Linked DNA regions of Drosophila melanogaster. The protein of the gene in region 1 interacts with the protein of each later gene in a pairwise test. Each region holds a gene or a part of one and is shown in the gene's direction. Other genes may lie near its edges.

What was found. Proteins that work in one complex are often made in the same cells at the same time.
Region 2: the proteins of CG18131 (region 1) and Pos interact in a two-hybrid assay, tested with the Drosophila melanogaster proteins (one large-scale study listed by BioGRID).

Annotation. Positions count from the first base shown.
Region 1 is NT_033779.5:1,495,982-1,504,704, reverse strand, and holds CG18131 (uncharacterized protein), read left to right. Parts: upstream 1-4,096; 5' UTR 4,097-4,296; intron 4,297-4,418; exon of another isoform or gene 4,419-4,502; 5' UTR 4,503-4,512; coding exon 4,513-4,591; intron 4,592-4,659; coding exon 4,660-5,147; intron 5,148-5,283; coding exon 5,284-6,039; 3' UTR 6,040-6,250; downstream 6,251-8,723. Other genes in the region: CG7420 (uncharacterized protein), read left to right, coding at 2,077-2,094, 2,521-2,772, 2,833-3,606, 3,669-3,791; CG31661 (uncharacterized protein), read right to left, coding at 6,270-7,451; CG31926 (uncharacterized protein), read right to left, coding at 7,726-8,723.
Region 2 is NT_033777.3:32,034,089-32,040,987, forward strand, and holds Pos (poseidon), read left to right. Parts: upstream 1-4,241; 5' UTR 4,242-4,394; coding exon 4,395-5,259; intron 5,260-5,309; coding exon 5,310-5,341; 3' UTR 5,342-5,665; downstream 5,666-6,899.

The DNA of each region.
Region 1 (8,723 bases):
ACGTTTAAATTACTCCGCAGGGAACACTCACAATCACATATGCACGCACACACATGCACGCGCGAATGCAAGCGAGGCCTTATAGGAAGTCCTTCGAAATTTACTTATCCGTGCAAGGATCCTTCGCGTACTTCTAGAATTACTAAAGGATAATGCATATGCTTCAGCTGTATTTGAATTTGGCGGAATTTTTACATTCTAGTACTGCATACTTTCAGGCTGCAAGCGTTTAGCAGCACTGCCACTGTTGTGTAACAGCTCAGCAAAAGCACTGTTATCTTATCTTAACAGCTCTATTTTCCGCCAAAAAGGAATTCATTTAAAAATGATTCAAATGATTCAATGTGAAAATCACATACAAATTGAGAAACAATACTAATATTAATGTTACAAATATTGTGCTTGTTTGGAAATTGTGTTTTAATTTATTCACTTAGCTCGTTTTATATCCGGCCAAATTCATAAACTTCTACGTAATAGTTCATATATCATTTGATTTTATTGCTTATAGCTTTATGGGGATTTCCCGTCATATATTTCCGAGTTGACCACAGTACAGCGGAAGTCCTCGTATAAGCCGTCATATTCGCGCCAAGAAATGGATAACAGTTCATACTGGACTCGCTAAAAATGGATGTTTGCCAAGGCGACTTTTGAATATCCTGCAATTTAAATTTGTAGTCTATTTTTACCCATCTTCCTCTGGATTTTCCGATTCTAATTTGACGGCGAACATGTTAATTCCCTGTGGTTTAATTGACTGCTATTGCAATTCAAACGGATTTCCACTTCCATCACCTTTGGGCACCTTCGATTGCATGTGGAGCAGCAGTCTTTCTTGCATGGCTTTTCTTCGTTTGCGGATATCAAGTGAAAATCATCAGTTTTCATTTCTAGCGTTTAGGGGCGCTCACCCTTTGTGTGTGCCAGGCAATTTTTGAATTGCAAATGCGGACCACAGTGCATTCTTCACGTGAGAGGGGTTGACTTTCCAGGAGGACGAGGAGGTCCTGGCCACATAGCATGCCAGGCGAACGTTGCAGCTTTGTAATGTCCTGCTGTTAGCGCCAGTTGCCCATTTGTGTAGCTCCGATTTTCTAGCGCCGTGATTTCGGTGTAATTAAAACAAGCTCACCTGTGAGTGGGTGATTTCGAATGAGCTTCTTGGCGATTACGAATATTGCTATATAATGCATGATCTTTTGAAGCGTAAGGACACTGTGACTTAACTATTTTTTGTTATAATATTGGATTAATATCATCGTATTTCTTTAATATATTGATATAATACCAGTCCACTAGAATGCAAATAGTCCTAGGCAATTTCCACTTCGTTTCTCTCGTATTTCATTAACTCTCGACTGCATTTTTCTTAGGCCAACTCACATTGTGGCTAACTATTGTGGCTTACATGGCCCAGCACGACAATTAAAACTTAATTAAAATTGCATGCACTTTAACCTTCGCCCTGAACTTCCATTGCTTTTAATTAGAATATATTTATATGCGCTTGACACGATTTTCACGCCCATCCGGCGGGATTATATAATCGTTATGGCCATAACCAAATGAGACATTAAATGGAAGCAAAGTGTTATTAGTTGGGTCCTAGGAGGTCAGCCGTGCTATGATTTAAATATTAATTACATATTGCTGAGAGGCGCTGAGCACAAATATTAAGCAGTTATCCTAATTTAAATGTCATATTGGCGGGAAAGTAAAAAAAGTACACATGTGTCTGTTATCTAGCAGAGTCATGTAAGCCAAACAGCTGTGCGCCAAGATCTGGCAACGCTGCCTCATTTGCATTGTTTACATTTTAGCATGCGACGCTGAAACTAATAGAACGCGAAATATAAAAGTAAATCCAAAGCAGAACCAAGCCTCAGTTTTACATGTGCTGGCAAAGGCAGAGCAGCGCTTTCGGAGCCAACTGGAGGCCATCGAGGAGTCGAAACCATCGGATCAGCAGGCGCATTCCTGGCGTGACTGCGGTGCATTAAATCACCCGGAAAATCGCGGCGACGAACAGCAACCGGAAGTTCGGCGCGAAACGAGCAACTGGTGGTCACCAGAATGGAGGTTTACGCCTGGGTAGGAGCCGCAGTAGAACTCTCGATAAGGAGCCGACCACTGAAATACCCTTGCAGAGAACGAGTTGGTTCGAATTAATCGTATCTCTGTGCCACCTGTAGATCCAAAACCAATATCTTACCTAAAGGCCAACTACTACGTAGTACTTCCTATAACATATCATTCAAGTCCTCGTTAAACCTTCGAAATCATTGTTTTACCACTTTTCTTATACTATATAAAAAGCCTATCTGAGAAGCCTAATATCTTTATATCTCTTAGCCATTCTAACGATAATTGCTTATCAACTTGCGTCTGAAACTACATTACTCTCTGCAAGGGTATGACAAGAAAGAAACAGAGACATCGCCACGGTGCATTTGCATTGCAAATTAATGAGTGATTTCCTTGGCTTGGGTTCTCGCCCCTTTTTTCGCCATGTCTTAGGGTGCCAATTCTCACGGCCAGCTCGGCCTTGGCTTTGAGTCCGAATTGTGCATGACACCGCAACGGGTGGCCAAGTGCTCCTTCGCCCCCGCCCAGGTTCGCTTGATTCGTGGAGGTGGTGGCCATGTTCTCATCCTCGACACAAGCGGACGGATTCATGCCTGCGGATGGAACAATCGTGGTCAACTGGGACTGGATTCCACGGAGGAGTGCCACAGCGAGTTCAAGATGATCCCCACGGAATACTTCGGGGTGAGTAAGCCTATGATCGCTTCTCCTAGAAACCCATAATCTCTAACAATAAAATTACAGGATGTTCCTGTGGAAACCATTAGCTGTGGCTGGGACATTTCGGGAGCCATCACGTTGACCAAACGCCTGTTTGTCTGGGGCTCCAATGCCTTTCAGCAGCTGGGAATTTGTCAGCGCGGCTTTACTGCCGTGAGAAGACCAATGCCAGTAAAGCTTCCACGCGAAGAACCCGCCCAGAGGATCAGCTTCGGCCTGCGCCACTGTGCCGTCCTTACGCAAGACAACAAAATCTACGTTTTCGGACGATTGAGGATTATGGACCCTCCGCCCATCGAGCTGGATATCACGGCCACCTGCCTGCACCGCTGCAATACGGTGAAGATACAGGTCCACAATCCCAACGAACTGCGGATAGTTTCCATTTCGAGTGGTCAGAACCACATGGTGCTCAAGTGCGCGGATCTAAGCGAAACGGGTGGAGGCAGCACCAAAAGAATCCTTACCTTGGGTGACAACAAGTTTGGCCAGTCCAACGCCTTTCAGTTTGAGGAGGATGTGCGTCAGTTGGCCGTGGGTTGGACCCACAATGCAGCTGTGCTCAAAAACAACGAGATCCTCGTATGGGGTCGCAATTGCTACGGTCAGCTGGGAATGGGTTCGTTCAGCGAACAGCAGGCAATACCCACGCCACTTCGCCTGAAGCTTCCTGAGGATCAGGGTCCTGCCAGAATTCACATGGGCGCCGAGCACGGTCTACTGAGGACTACGGCAGGAGAGGTCTACACCTGGGGATGGAACGAGCATGGGAACTGCGGCAACAACAGCACCGAAAATGTGTAGGAACCGACCTTAGTCCACAAAAATAAGTACATATTTACATTAATTTACTTTTCCAGTTGCACCCCAACTCTTTTACAACTGCCACCAGTGAAATTGTGCGGCGCAGGAGCAGGATTTTGTTACGCGATCACAGAGCCCGTAATCTAACTTTAAGTCCATGTGATGTCCTTCTGGTTTAGCTTATGACCCATTGTAAAATGTTCGTGTACGGCTTTGTTAAAACTTTTAAATAAAAATACTACTGTTATTGATGAAATGAAAAAGCACGAGTTGGAACTACAAATAGTGAAATAAACCGAGTTATCCTTGATATATTATACTAATTCTGATGACACTTTTACGTCAAGCACTTATTTAAATTTACTAGAAGCTCTTTGTTGGGCGGCTACACACATATGAACGGTCACATTGCGGTCACACGTATGAACATGATTTGATATTTACATAGTTTCCTAAATATTCCGATTATGAGTTAGATATTTAAATGAACTCTCTTATTATGGTCATATCATATTTAACTGCCATATCTGAAGGCTTTTCTTTAATAACATTAAGACCAACCAATCAGTGTTGCAAAATAGTCCAGTGCTGCCCATCATCCTTATGCCAGAATCTTTTTTACCGGTCACATTTCTTTTCTTCTTGCTTCACTTCGCCAGTAGGTGACGTTCGTTGTGGTGCGGGGTAAGTTAATTAATTGTTTACTGCGTAATCCAAGCCAGTCTTCATAAACAAACTGGGTGCATATTGACTGGGCTTTTGCTCGATTACCAAGGCTTTTCTATTGTTTTTATTCAGTGAGCTGCGGTACACAGCAGGCGACGGTTGATCAACTTTATTGAAGTCAGGCATATTGTTCGTTCCTCCAAATTTATAGTTTATGTTTTTAGAAGCCGCACGATGTCCGAGAATGCCAGCAACAAGAGCCAGCTTATATCTAATGACCTAGACGAAGATGAGACTGCGGCCGCCACTCAAGGTAGAACTTTCGAGTGAACTTCAGGGTCTCATTGATGCTTATAATGCTACCAATTTACCCCTCCTCAGTCAACATATCCAGTCAGCTGGCCAAGAAAATATGGGGCGTAACATCCAACGACATTTCCCTGGGTCTCGTGGAGGCGTCTGAGGAAGCTGTGCCCAATTTTCCAAGTGGATGCGAATCAGGAACGGGGTGTGAAATGGGATCTGCCAGCAAGCCAGCGGCCAGCGAAAGTGTCAGCAAGCCAGCGGCCGTCGACAGTGCCAGCATTTACGTAACCGAGGTGGAGCGCGTTCTCTACGGAGATACCATCGGTTACCCGGAGAACGGCACTCATAACTACTTCAAGGCCGCCGAAAACTACTCCCTGTTCGGGGAGAGCTTCCTTGACTTTCCCAAGGACATGGCCAGCTGCCTTGCGGGCCTGAAACCGATGGTGAGTCAAGCTTGGAGTTCCCACCCGGGATACGAACGATCCGTCAAGTCGGTGCCTCTATATGAAAGAAGACAAGCTACTCCGGAACATGAAGGCGCTGCCTCCAACTTGCCGGGGGTAAGCTATGAGCAACCAGGCGCGAATCTATTAAACGGTTATCGGGTTTTTTTTGAAAATAGTTTAGAATTGCGTATCTATCTCACATACTATAAATATCCTATGCTAACTGCCATACATTTATTTTGTGTTTCAGAGCGGCTTTCAGCAACAACAAAGACAGATCCCTCAGCATCAGCAGCAACATCAGCAGCAGCAACATCATCAGCAGCAACATCATCAGCAGCAACATCATCAGCATCAACAGCAGAAACATCAACAGCAACAGCAGCAACATCAACAGCAGCAGCCACATCGTCAACTTGGCACCGAAAGCCACAATCGCAACTCGGTTAAAAATTTCAATGAGATACCATTTCCCCAGTTTTACCATCAGATGCGACACCAAGCGCCGCCACAGCCGCAGTTGAATGCGCCACGCAGCCACCATCATATCCACATGCCACAAAAGCAGCAGCAGGTGGCACCACAGCCACCACCGCAACAGCAGCAGCAGCAGCAGCAGCAACAGCAGTATCAGCAGCAGCTTCACCGTCCAAGTGTCGGGGATCTAGCTGCATTGTCCAACGCCAATCCCAAGGACTTTGCTCTGCTGTATCAGCAATTGATCGCTCGAAATCTGCGTCAAGCTTCGCAGCACAACCAGCAACACTCGCAACAGGCTGCCCCGCAACAACCTCAGGCTCCTAACAATGCTGCTGCTGCTGCAGCCATGATCTACAAGAATCTGGAGTTTCAGCAACAAGTGCAGCTGCGACAATTGCAACAGCTGCATCAGCAGCAGCAGCAGCAGCAGCAACAGCCTCGCATGCCACGTGGCATTTATGGGGGCAACGGTGGTCAGCAAACCGCACAAAATGGAAAGGAACATCAAGTTGGAACCCACAAGTAACACCAAATAGCTAAGAGGTCAGATTTCCTAATGTCCAATCGATCGGAATTAACGCCCATTAACAATTCACATTTATTTGTCCAACTTTTACAATGTAATTGAATTTTTTTCTGTCATTGCCATTTATACAATTGGTAATATTTGTTTACCAAATTATAGTCCGAATATTTTTTTAAATAAATTCACTTATCACGCAAGGTGTGATAGTCATAATAAAATGAATAATCCCCTCATACAGCCGGTGCTATGCCCATTCTTCTCCTAGCCCAATCGAACTCCACATAGTTCTCCCGCATGAAGGCATCACCGAGTATCCAGTACTGCAGGCCTAGCATGTCCATAAAGGCGGAGAAGCAAAAATTATCGTACCTGATGACGTAGGTATGTGGCTTCACGAAGAACTCCTTGCCAGCAATGCCAAAGACGATGATCGGAAGTTGGGGAATCGATTCACAGGCGACGGTGTACAGGTTATAGGTTTTATTGTGCTCGGCTCCGATGTCCTTGTTGATGTAGAGGACTTCCAGGACAGGACCAACGATCAGGGAGGTTCCCGTGTCCATGATGGCCTTGTTCCCCGTGCGGGAGCTCCTGGAACCCTTGCCATGGACCGCTATGAAGTCCAGCTTGAAGCTCCAGTACTTGGCCTCGGTCACATTTGTATAGGTCAACGGACCGTAGTACAGACTCGAGTTCGATCCACCGAGTATCATGGAGCCCCCATCACTGGACCCACTTTTCAGATGAAACGAGAAAATTGGCTGCTCCACCAACTGTTGGTCAATCATTTGCTGGAAAGAAGGGACCGATTTGGTCATAGAGAGTTGCTGAAAGGCGAAGCCAGCGATTCCATCGAAAACGGAGCAGGAGTCCGATATGTTGACCAATCCAATGCCTTGGTTCTGGATCTTTAGATCGCCGAAGCCAACATTATCCGAGGCCACGATTCCCTTCACGGAGCCCGATCCGTAGGTGATGCTAAATGGAGTTCCACTTGACCGAAAGGATTTGGAATTGGACTTCCGGAAAAACTTGTTCCCGCACGTTTTGATGCAGAATCTGCAATGGGAACTGGGCACCCAAAAGTCCGAGGAACCCGTGTCGAATTGCATGGTGAATGATTGATCTCCGACCGACACAACCCCGAAAAAGTTGGTATCGTAGGAATTTATCAGGGGCTCGGTTATCACGACTCCCTTACCGGACTCGCTGGTCACATTCACAGCATTCACCGTACGGAGTGGAGTAAATCCGTACTTCCTTCGCAGCGCATTCCGAAACTGCAGGTGCAGATGGGCGTGAGGAATCTTGTGGTGACGGTGGGATCGTCTCTCCAGTCGAAATCTGTGTACTTTCTTACCGCCTACAAACACAATCAGACAGAAAAGTAGGATAATCACACGTATATTCATGGTGCCTCACTGGTTGGGTTCCTGGTCACTTCGCCCGATTTATAGTTTTTCCATGTGGGATTTATCTGGTTCATGTTTATTTCGATTCACACGTATTGTGGGTTAAAGCTCGAGACTGGCACTCGAATATGTGATTTATAGGGAAAGCTCAATGATACGCAAATTCAATGGGTGTAGCTTTAGTATTTCCAAGGGGGGTTATTTATTAAAGTGGGTAAATAATGCAAAGAATACAATTGTTAAAGAACTTGTTTGAGTATATAGTTTGAACGACCTAATGAATTGCTGGTGCCAGTCCAATGAGTTTGTAGACAATATCGTAGGTCGTATAGTAGGCGCCCAGGAAGATCTCGCCCAGAATCAACAAGGAGTTGCCGTTCATGCTGGTGAATCCCGAGACACAAGTGTTTCCATATCGGAGCACGTAGTCGCTAGACTTCAAGGGGAACTTCCGGCGCGCAACGGTGAAGACAATGTCCGGAAGATCGCCGATCGAGGAGCAATCCACTAAAAAGACTCCATTCGAAGCCGTCGGGTTGAGAACTCCCAATATTTGGTTGATGGTATCTAGGACTTGCTCAGGCACAACAATTAGGGAAGTGCCTACATCGAGTATGGCCTCGCAGTTCTCACAAAACTGAAATCCATTCAGATTGGCACTAGTCATTGTAAACTGCCAGTATCCTGCGCTGGAAACTGGCACATAGGTCAAACACCCGCTGTACAGACCCGAATCCGATCCTCCCAGGATCAGCTCCCCACCGTTAATGGCATTGGTGCCATTTCTATTCAAGTAGATCGAAAACACAGATCGGTTTACTAGACCTTGGGCCATTAAGTTGTAGAAGGGTGGGGTAATACTATTAATGGCTATGCTGGCGAACCCCAATCCCAAAATTCCATCGAGCTGGGACTTCAGAAATGCGGTCTCTGGTGCATTGGTGATTTCGGCGAAGATCTGATTTTTAATGGAGTATCCGGCGAAGTTTACTGTGTCCTGGGACTGAAAGCCGGAGAGTGCAATAGGTCCTTCCTCTGAATTGGAACCGTATGCAATATTGAATGCGGTATTGATAGCCCTGTAGGTTGTGGAAGCACTTGAGTTGTACTTTATGCGATTGGCACAGGGTGCAACCGAGTCTGGACACTTGGATGACAGCACCCAGAGATTCGCCGAACCAGTGTCGATCAGCACTTTCAAATCCTGCGGCGGATTTCCGAATCCTAATGTGGTGTAGTACTCCGTGTTGTATAGATTTTCTAGCGTTGCGA
Region 2 (6,899 bases), on another chromosome or scaffold:
CAGGCATTTCGGCTTTGTCCTCTGGTCCTTTTTGGGCCCAGACAGCTCATTTGCCATTGTTCGCCAGCCACGCAAATTGAAATTGAAACTGCAACCGGATGTAATTGGGCTTGCATATGTACGTTGCGTTCGGTTCAGTTCGCTTAGGTCTCTCTGTCTGTCCGTTGATAATATCATTGATAGCTTTTACCACAATTTGTAACCACAATAAGTTGCTGGTCACAGTTGGAGCTGCAAAAAATGACCATGAGTGCGTCCGTGTGTGGTGGGTATATGACAACGGAAAATTGAAAATTATTAGCTAACCTTTTCTGTTGAATGGCTTGTTGATTATAACCGAAGCTGGCTAATGGATTTGCTGTTGCTTCATTTGTTGAAAGTAATAGACCAATACCCCTGCCTTGTACGAAGCATGTTGATATATATAAGATTCAAATAGTTAAACCTACAAACAAAAAACTAGAGTGGACGCTATATTCGATTTCCTCGAGCTTTATATACCTTTTACTGTGCTAGTAGGAGCGCCAGGCAGAAAATTTAAAATTTTTTTGGCATAGATATAAGAGCTGGTCAGAAAAATAGTGAAACAAAAAAATCTGCACGTTTTCCAAATTTTTGGCTTTAATTTCCCTATTGCGGGCGTTACAGTAGAGGTGATCAAAATGTTTTCAGTACGTCAAAATGTATCTTTTGTTACAAATTTGCACTGTGTCTATGTTTCTTTAATCTACATGGCTAATCTTAGCTTTTTTGAATTTAAGATTTCAGCGTTTAGTGTTCCAGATTAGGAATATACAGTTTATGGGGTCGGAAATTGTTTTTGTTTCCTGTTAAATATTTTTGACCGAGTCTAGTATACTTTTATAATAGTGGGTGAAATTACTTTAAAGAAGGTGTTACACCAAGTAAACATAGCAACAGAGATGAAAAGAAAACCAGAACCAGCGAGTTAAACAACTAAAAGTGTCACAATTGTTGTGACTTGTAACTAGGACCAATTGTTTAACTTTGGTCAGTAAAAGCACCTGTGCCTGCCGTAGCAGAATTGCAAAACATCATTTCGCTAAAATAAAACAAACAACAACAAAAAGTCAAGCAAAGTGGGAACTGGCACGGTAATGCAACAAGTCAAAACTGTACGTACTTAAAATTTATTATGTGTTTTCTATGACTTTGTGCCATTGTTTTTTGTGTTGCTAGACTCTTTACTCTTTTAGAGGTTTACTTGAGCATTAAATAAATCGAAACAAGAAAAGGAAAGGGCAGGGTAAGGCCCAAACCTGTACAGTTCCTAAGTACAATTGTCAACAGATCGCATTGTTTGTTTTCAGCATGAAACTTGTATACTTAATGTTGGCCTTGCATTAAATATAATATCCCAAATCAACTGAGCAATGGAACAACTTAGCGCAACCATTACTATTTGCTTACGTTCCAAAGGAAGTAATATTTGATATTAAATATTTTAATGTTGATTATGTAAAGGAAGACAGTATATTCTCGGTTAACGTCAAAGTGAGCCCGAAAAGTTAAATATTTTGTTTGAAAGCTTTGCAAATATACGTATTAAGTCTTATGCTCTGTTTTGCTGTGTGAATCAAGGTTGATGTAAGCGCACATGTTTTTTAGTCATAAGCACAAAAAATTGTTATTAAAAGATTAGCTTCGCCGAAAAAACATTTCGCGTCTGGTATGTGTATTCAAAATTAGAAGTGACAGTTCAGCGGAAGCTAATAAAAGCGAGAGGGTAGATAATATTGTCATTAAAATGCTTCCGCTTTCACCCAACAAGAACAGTTGCGCCTATTGTACGTCTCTGTCGCTAATCAGAAAAGATTCCAAAGGGTATTCATATGCAAAGCGGAGAGACACGATGCTCACATTATTCATTGCGAATGACAAGCGGAAGGGATACCGCTCATGACTTGGAAAGGGAAACTTTAGAGGCGCTTAAGGTAAAATATAATCAAAAGCCGTGAAAACATTTTTACACGTCATTAAACTCAAATTCAACAAACCATGGCAGCGTATGTTACAGCATCCCGCGAATAGCATACACACATTTATACAGAATAAAATGCCTGGCGGCGGATCACACATACATACAAACACCCACTTGCACAAGAAGCTTCTCATTCAACCTTGCCGAAGATTGATGTGCCTCGAATGCATAAATATATTAAAGCTTTTAATAAATTCGCGGGGAATGTTTTTGGGCTCATCGGCCAGGGTCCTGCAGTAATAATAAAAAAAAACTAATAATTAGCTTGATATGACCCGCTTATACCCCACAACACGTTAACCCACACGAGACAAGTTTTACACAAGTTTCCAACAAGAATACCGAATATTAATTTAAAGGGTAAACTCTTTAATTAAAGTACCATTCTTAGGAAATCAAATAAAATTGTATTTCTACAAGTCCTGGAGGCAAGTCCAGTCGGACCTTAATCCATAATGCTTTGAATTATTAATTTTTAAACTTTTCGCAACACAAAAAGAATGACCCAAAGGCCTTTGATTTGGCCTATGGGTCAGTGAAGCTTAAGTAATAGGGTGATGCGAGCTTGGTACCCTTGCCCCATATGTGCTTTCTCGCTTGAGTGCGCATTGTCAGACCCAAGTAGCTTAAGGGGAGGATTATTAAAAAGTTCGAGGGAGAAACCTCAGCAAAAAGATAACAGTATATTGATTGAAAACCGCATGCATAATGCATTAATTTTTCGAACCATTTCGTTTTTTCTTGTCGTGGATGTTACTCAGAAAAATCAGAAGTAAAACATTTTACTTTGTTCTACTCAGAAGGGCAATTTGTTTAACTGCCAAAAGCAAAATTATAAAAAATAAAACACAATTAATGAAATAGACACCGAAAAAATTAAAACGAGAACAAAACATCACTAAACAACACATGAAGGTAGCATCAGCAAGCTGAAGCTCTACGCCTGTTTTAATCAAATAGGAACAAGAGGTACTTATACAGGATACCGAACTGAGACCGACAGGCCTAATTGGGCTGAAAACTAATTCCATAATTTGCGGCCAAACAAAGAGATCGGTGATTGTCGAGTAAAGATAAGAAAAAGTGTTGACCGCGCAATTGTTATATTTTGATTTTATGATGCATAATTAATTAATATACATTACGCTGGCATAGGCAAATATTTGTTTGGGAACTGCCGCAGATGGCGAACGGTATGGTTTGACAACTTCTGTTTATCGCGGTCAGATACATATGTACATAAACTTTAGTCTCTTTATACCCGTTACTCGTAGAGTAAAAGGGTATACTTATTCGTTTAAAAGTATGTAACGGGCACAAAAGCGTTTCCGACTATATAAAGTATATACATATATCCTTGATCAGAATCAATAGCTGAGTCGATCTGGCCATGTCCGTATGAACGTCGAGATCTCAGGAAATATAAAAAAAAGAGAAGGTTGAGATTCAGAATACAGATTCTAGAGACAAAGACGCAGCAAAAGTTTGCTGAAACATGTTGCCCCGCCAACTCTAACGTCCACAAACCGCACAAGACCGCCCACACTTTTGTGATGTAATTGAATTCGTCTTGTAAAAACCGGACACATAAACACTTTTGAACTATTTTTAAATGTTTTCTCATTTTATTCCCTTATATCTATCGATACCCCAAAAACATTATGAAATTTCGGGTTCGCCTTCACATTAGCTGATTAACGGGTATCTGATAGTCCGTGAACTCGAATATAGCATTCTCTCTTGTTTTAAATTTTATTGTCCCGATTTAGCAAAGCAAAATTGTCAGGTCAGCAAGTTTTTGTCTGATAATAAAGCTGACTCTAATTAACACGACGAGCATGCATTTTTAGGCCCGCACATACAGAGGACCGAGTCACATTTCCGTTTCCGATTTGCATGTGGAACGAGTCGCGATTCCAAACACATACTATTGCAAATTTATTTGCATTCGACTTCTTGTATGTCCTTGCCCATTGTTATGCTAAATTCATGGGGGCGTGCGGTAATAAAACTTCCCAAGAGTTTATATGAATTCGCTCTTATTATCTAACACTTATCAGTGTGTTTATCCGACAACTAAACATTCGCCCAGTTGATATAAGGCTAAGGTTCAGCCGAAATGATATGGCGCATCTTATTATAATTTCCTTTAAAAGTAATATTGAATTCGTTTTTCAAATTGCACGTTATTCGGTTGAAGAATAGTTTTATTTTTACGTAAACCAAACCAGAATTGCTTAGATAAATGAGTCAAAGTATAAAAGCATGTAGTACTAAACATTTCTCATAAAAAATATCACTTATACAAAAACTACAATCGATCAGCTTGACTTAATACATATTCCACATCCACGGCGAAAATATTAATTACTCCTCACCAAGCAGAACTTAAATGAGTGCCCCAAACATGGATTGTGAACAGCGCGGCGATATAGATAGCGTCTTCGGCTGGATCGCCAATCTTTGCAACAAAGAAACGCGTCTCTGGGCGATGCTGGAGCTATTCGAAAGGCGCACCCACATTGACAGCCTAGGACTCTTGCTATGGCATTCCTTTGGAGCTGTGAGTGGCTTGCTACAAGAGATTGTGTCAATATATCCGGCCATTTATCAAGAAATTGAATTAACCGGCCAACAGTCGCACCGGATTTGCACTGCCATTGGGCTGATTCAGGCTATGGCATCACATCCCTTCATTGGTATTCAACTCATACGATGCCAATTCATGTGCTATTTGATGCCATTGCTTAAAATGACTTCTCAAACTCGCGCCGTTGAGCATGTTCGTCTCTCTGTCTTGGGCGTCATTTGCGGTCTACTGAAATCAGATCATCCGGAGATCGTATCTTATTTTTTGGGCACTGAATTAATTCCACTTACCCTGCGGCAGCTGGAGTTTGGTACCACAATGAGTAAGGTGCTCTGTGCATTTGTCTTGTACCGCACCTTAGAACATGAAGTGGGCTTAAAGTTTGCCAGTCGAAGACTGGCACGAAAGCTGCATCTGATCCATACTTTGGCCAGGGTTGTGCACCAACTCACACTGGAACCGGAGCCTAGGGTCCTTAAACATGTAGTAAGGATCTATTCTCGTCTGGCTGATCATCCCCAAAATCTGGAGCTGATCCTTAAGCTATTGCCGGCTCAGATTCGGAACGGCTATTTTTGCCAGGAAGGTTTAGTGGGCTTCGAGAGCGCTTCTCTAGAGCTAGCTGATCTTAACCGTAAGCTCAGTAAAAATGAGGAAAAGGACAAGGGTAAGGGATCCATAAACTCGCAGGATAATTTTATATAATTTTTCTTTTAGTTTGTGATGATGCCATGCCGGAAAACCATTGAAGCTAAATTTCACGCCTCCTTAGTTTTCCTTCCCCTAATTGTCCTAATCAATGCATACAATTGGTGAACCAATCAGATGTTTTATTTGGTTGCTTCTGGATATCTTTGGTTGGAGGATATGTAAGGGTTCTCTTGAAGCATTAAGTTAGAACAATGCAATAAACAGATCGTAAATATTTTGATACCATTTTTCCACCGTAATTGACCCGACGATACTTTCAATGTCAAACAATAAATTCAATTTCCAATCAATAGCCCCAAAAAAAATAAAGGCTCAGTAGCACACACACATTACAGTTACCCTAAACCCTACCACGCACGTGCAATGGCTCTACTTCTGACATATATATTTAGTGAAACATTCGAATGAGCAAAAGGTGAGCAAAAAGGAGCAAACGGAGTAAGTCCAAAGAAGCGGAAAATAAATGGAAAAGCCGATATGCGCCAGGTATTTAGAACAGTAAGAACCTTTAGGATATCATATAGCAGCTTTTAGTACCTAGTACCTAGAGCTGCGTCCATTAAAGTGTTTAAAAACTGATAAATTGAAAACTGATAAATAACCATACATTTTAGACTTAAACAGAGTCGGATTTCCATGGACCAAAAAAGATAAGCTAAGTAGGGTAAAATAAGCACAATAGCATTTTGTAGTTCGATTGCAAGGCAAAAATTGAAATCTTTAAAAATTGTATCTTGACTTTTGGAAAAAGCCTAAGTCTTTATCGAAGGTAGAAAGAAAGTATGCAAAGTAGCTAAAGCAGGGAATAAAACGCCACGCAACAACAATGACATTCAAACAATGCAAATCAATTTAAATTTTCATCTCACATGACGTAGTCGATGAAGAAGGGCCGGGAAAAAGGGCGCAAAAACGTACAGATAATGCGTGAGAATATCAGAAAAGCAACCACAATCTCTTTACCAAATTGTTTCGAGGGCTGCCATTGCCTTTTTTCGCTCTTCGTTGGTTTTGCCACGCAACTCAATCATAAGTAAATATCTGCCTCGCCCGCCCACACGCACACGAAAAAACGCAGCTTATTATGCCCACGGGTAAAATATAAAGGGAACGGCAGAAAAGTAGCACGTTGGCAGGCGAGACACGTTCTAATAGATTTTTTCAACCTCTCGCCCTTTGACGCCTGGCATGGCATACAAGTAACACATGTTGCTTTTGTTTGGCTTCCTGTCGCACAGAAGGATGAAAAGAAGGAATCCGTCAGTTTCATAAAAATTACATTTTCACTGCCTAAAATATAGTTTAGCTTTCTTTTCACTTCGCTAAAAATCGTATATGTTTTTATTATTGGGTCATCAGATCAGTATGTCTTGTAATAAATTAAATTTTAAGATTTGAGTTACCGAGTAAAAAAATGATTTGATACCATTTTCGTTTTTTTTTTTCTTACGTGTTCTCAACGCACCTTATTTTAAGCTTACCTATTTATTATTCACCTTTTGAGAACAGTTTAAAAATCAAAAAAGGATTTTAAGCCACAAATGGGCATTGATTAGATAGCCGGATAGGGCGCATGCATATGTACATATTTATGTT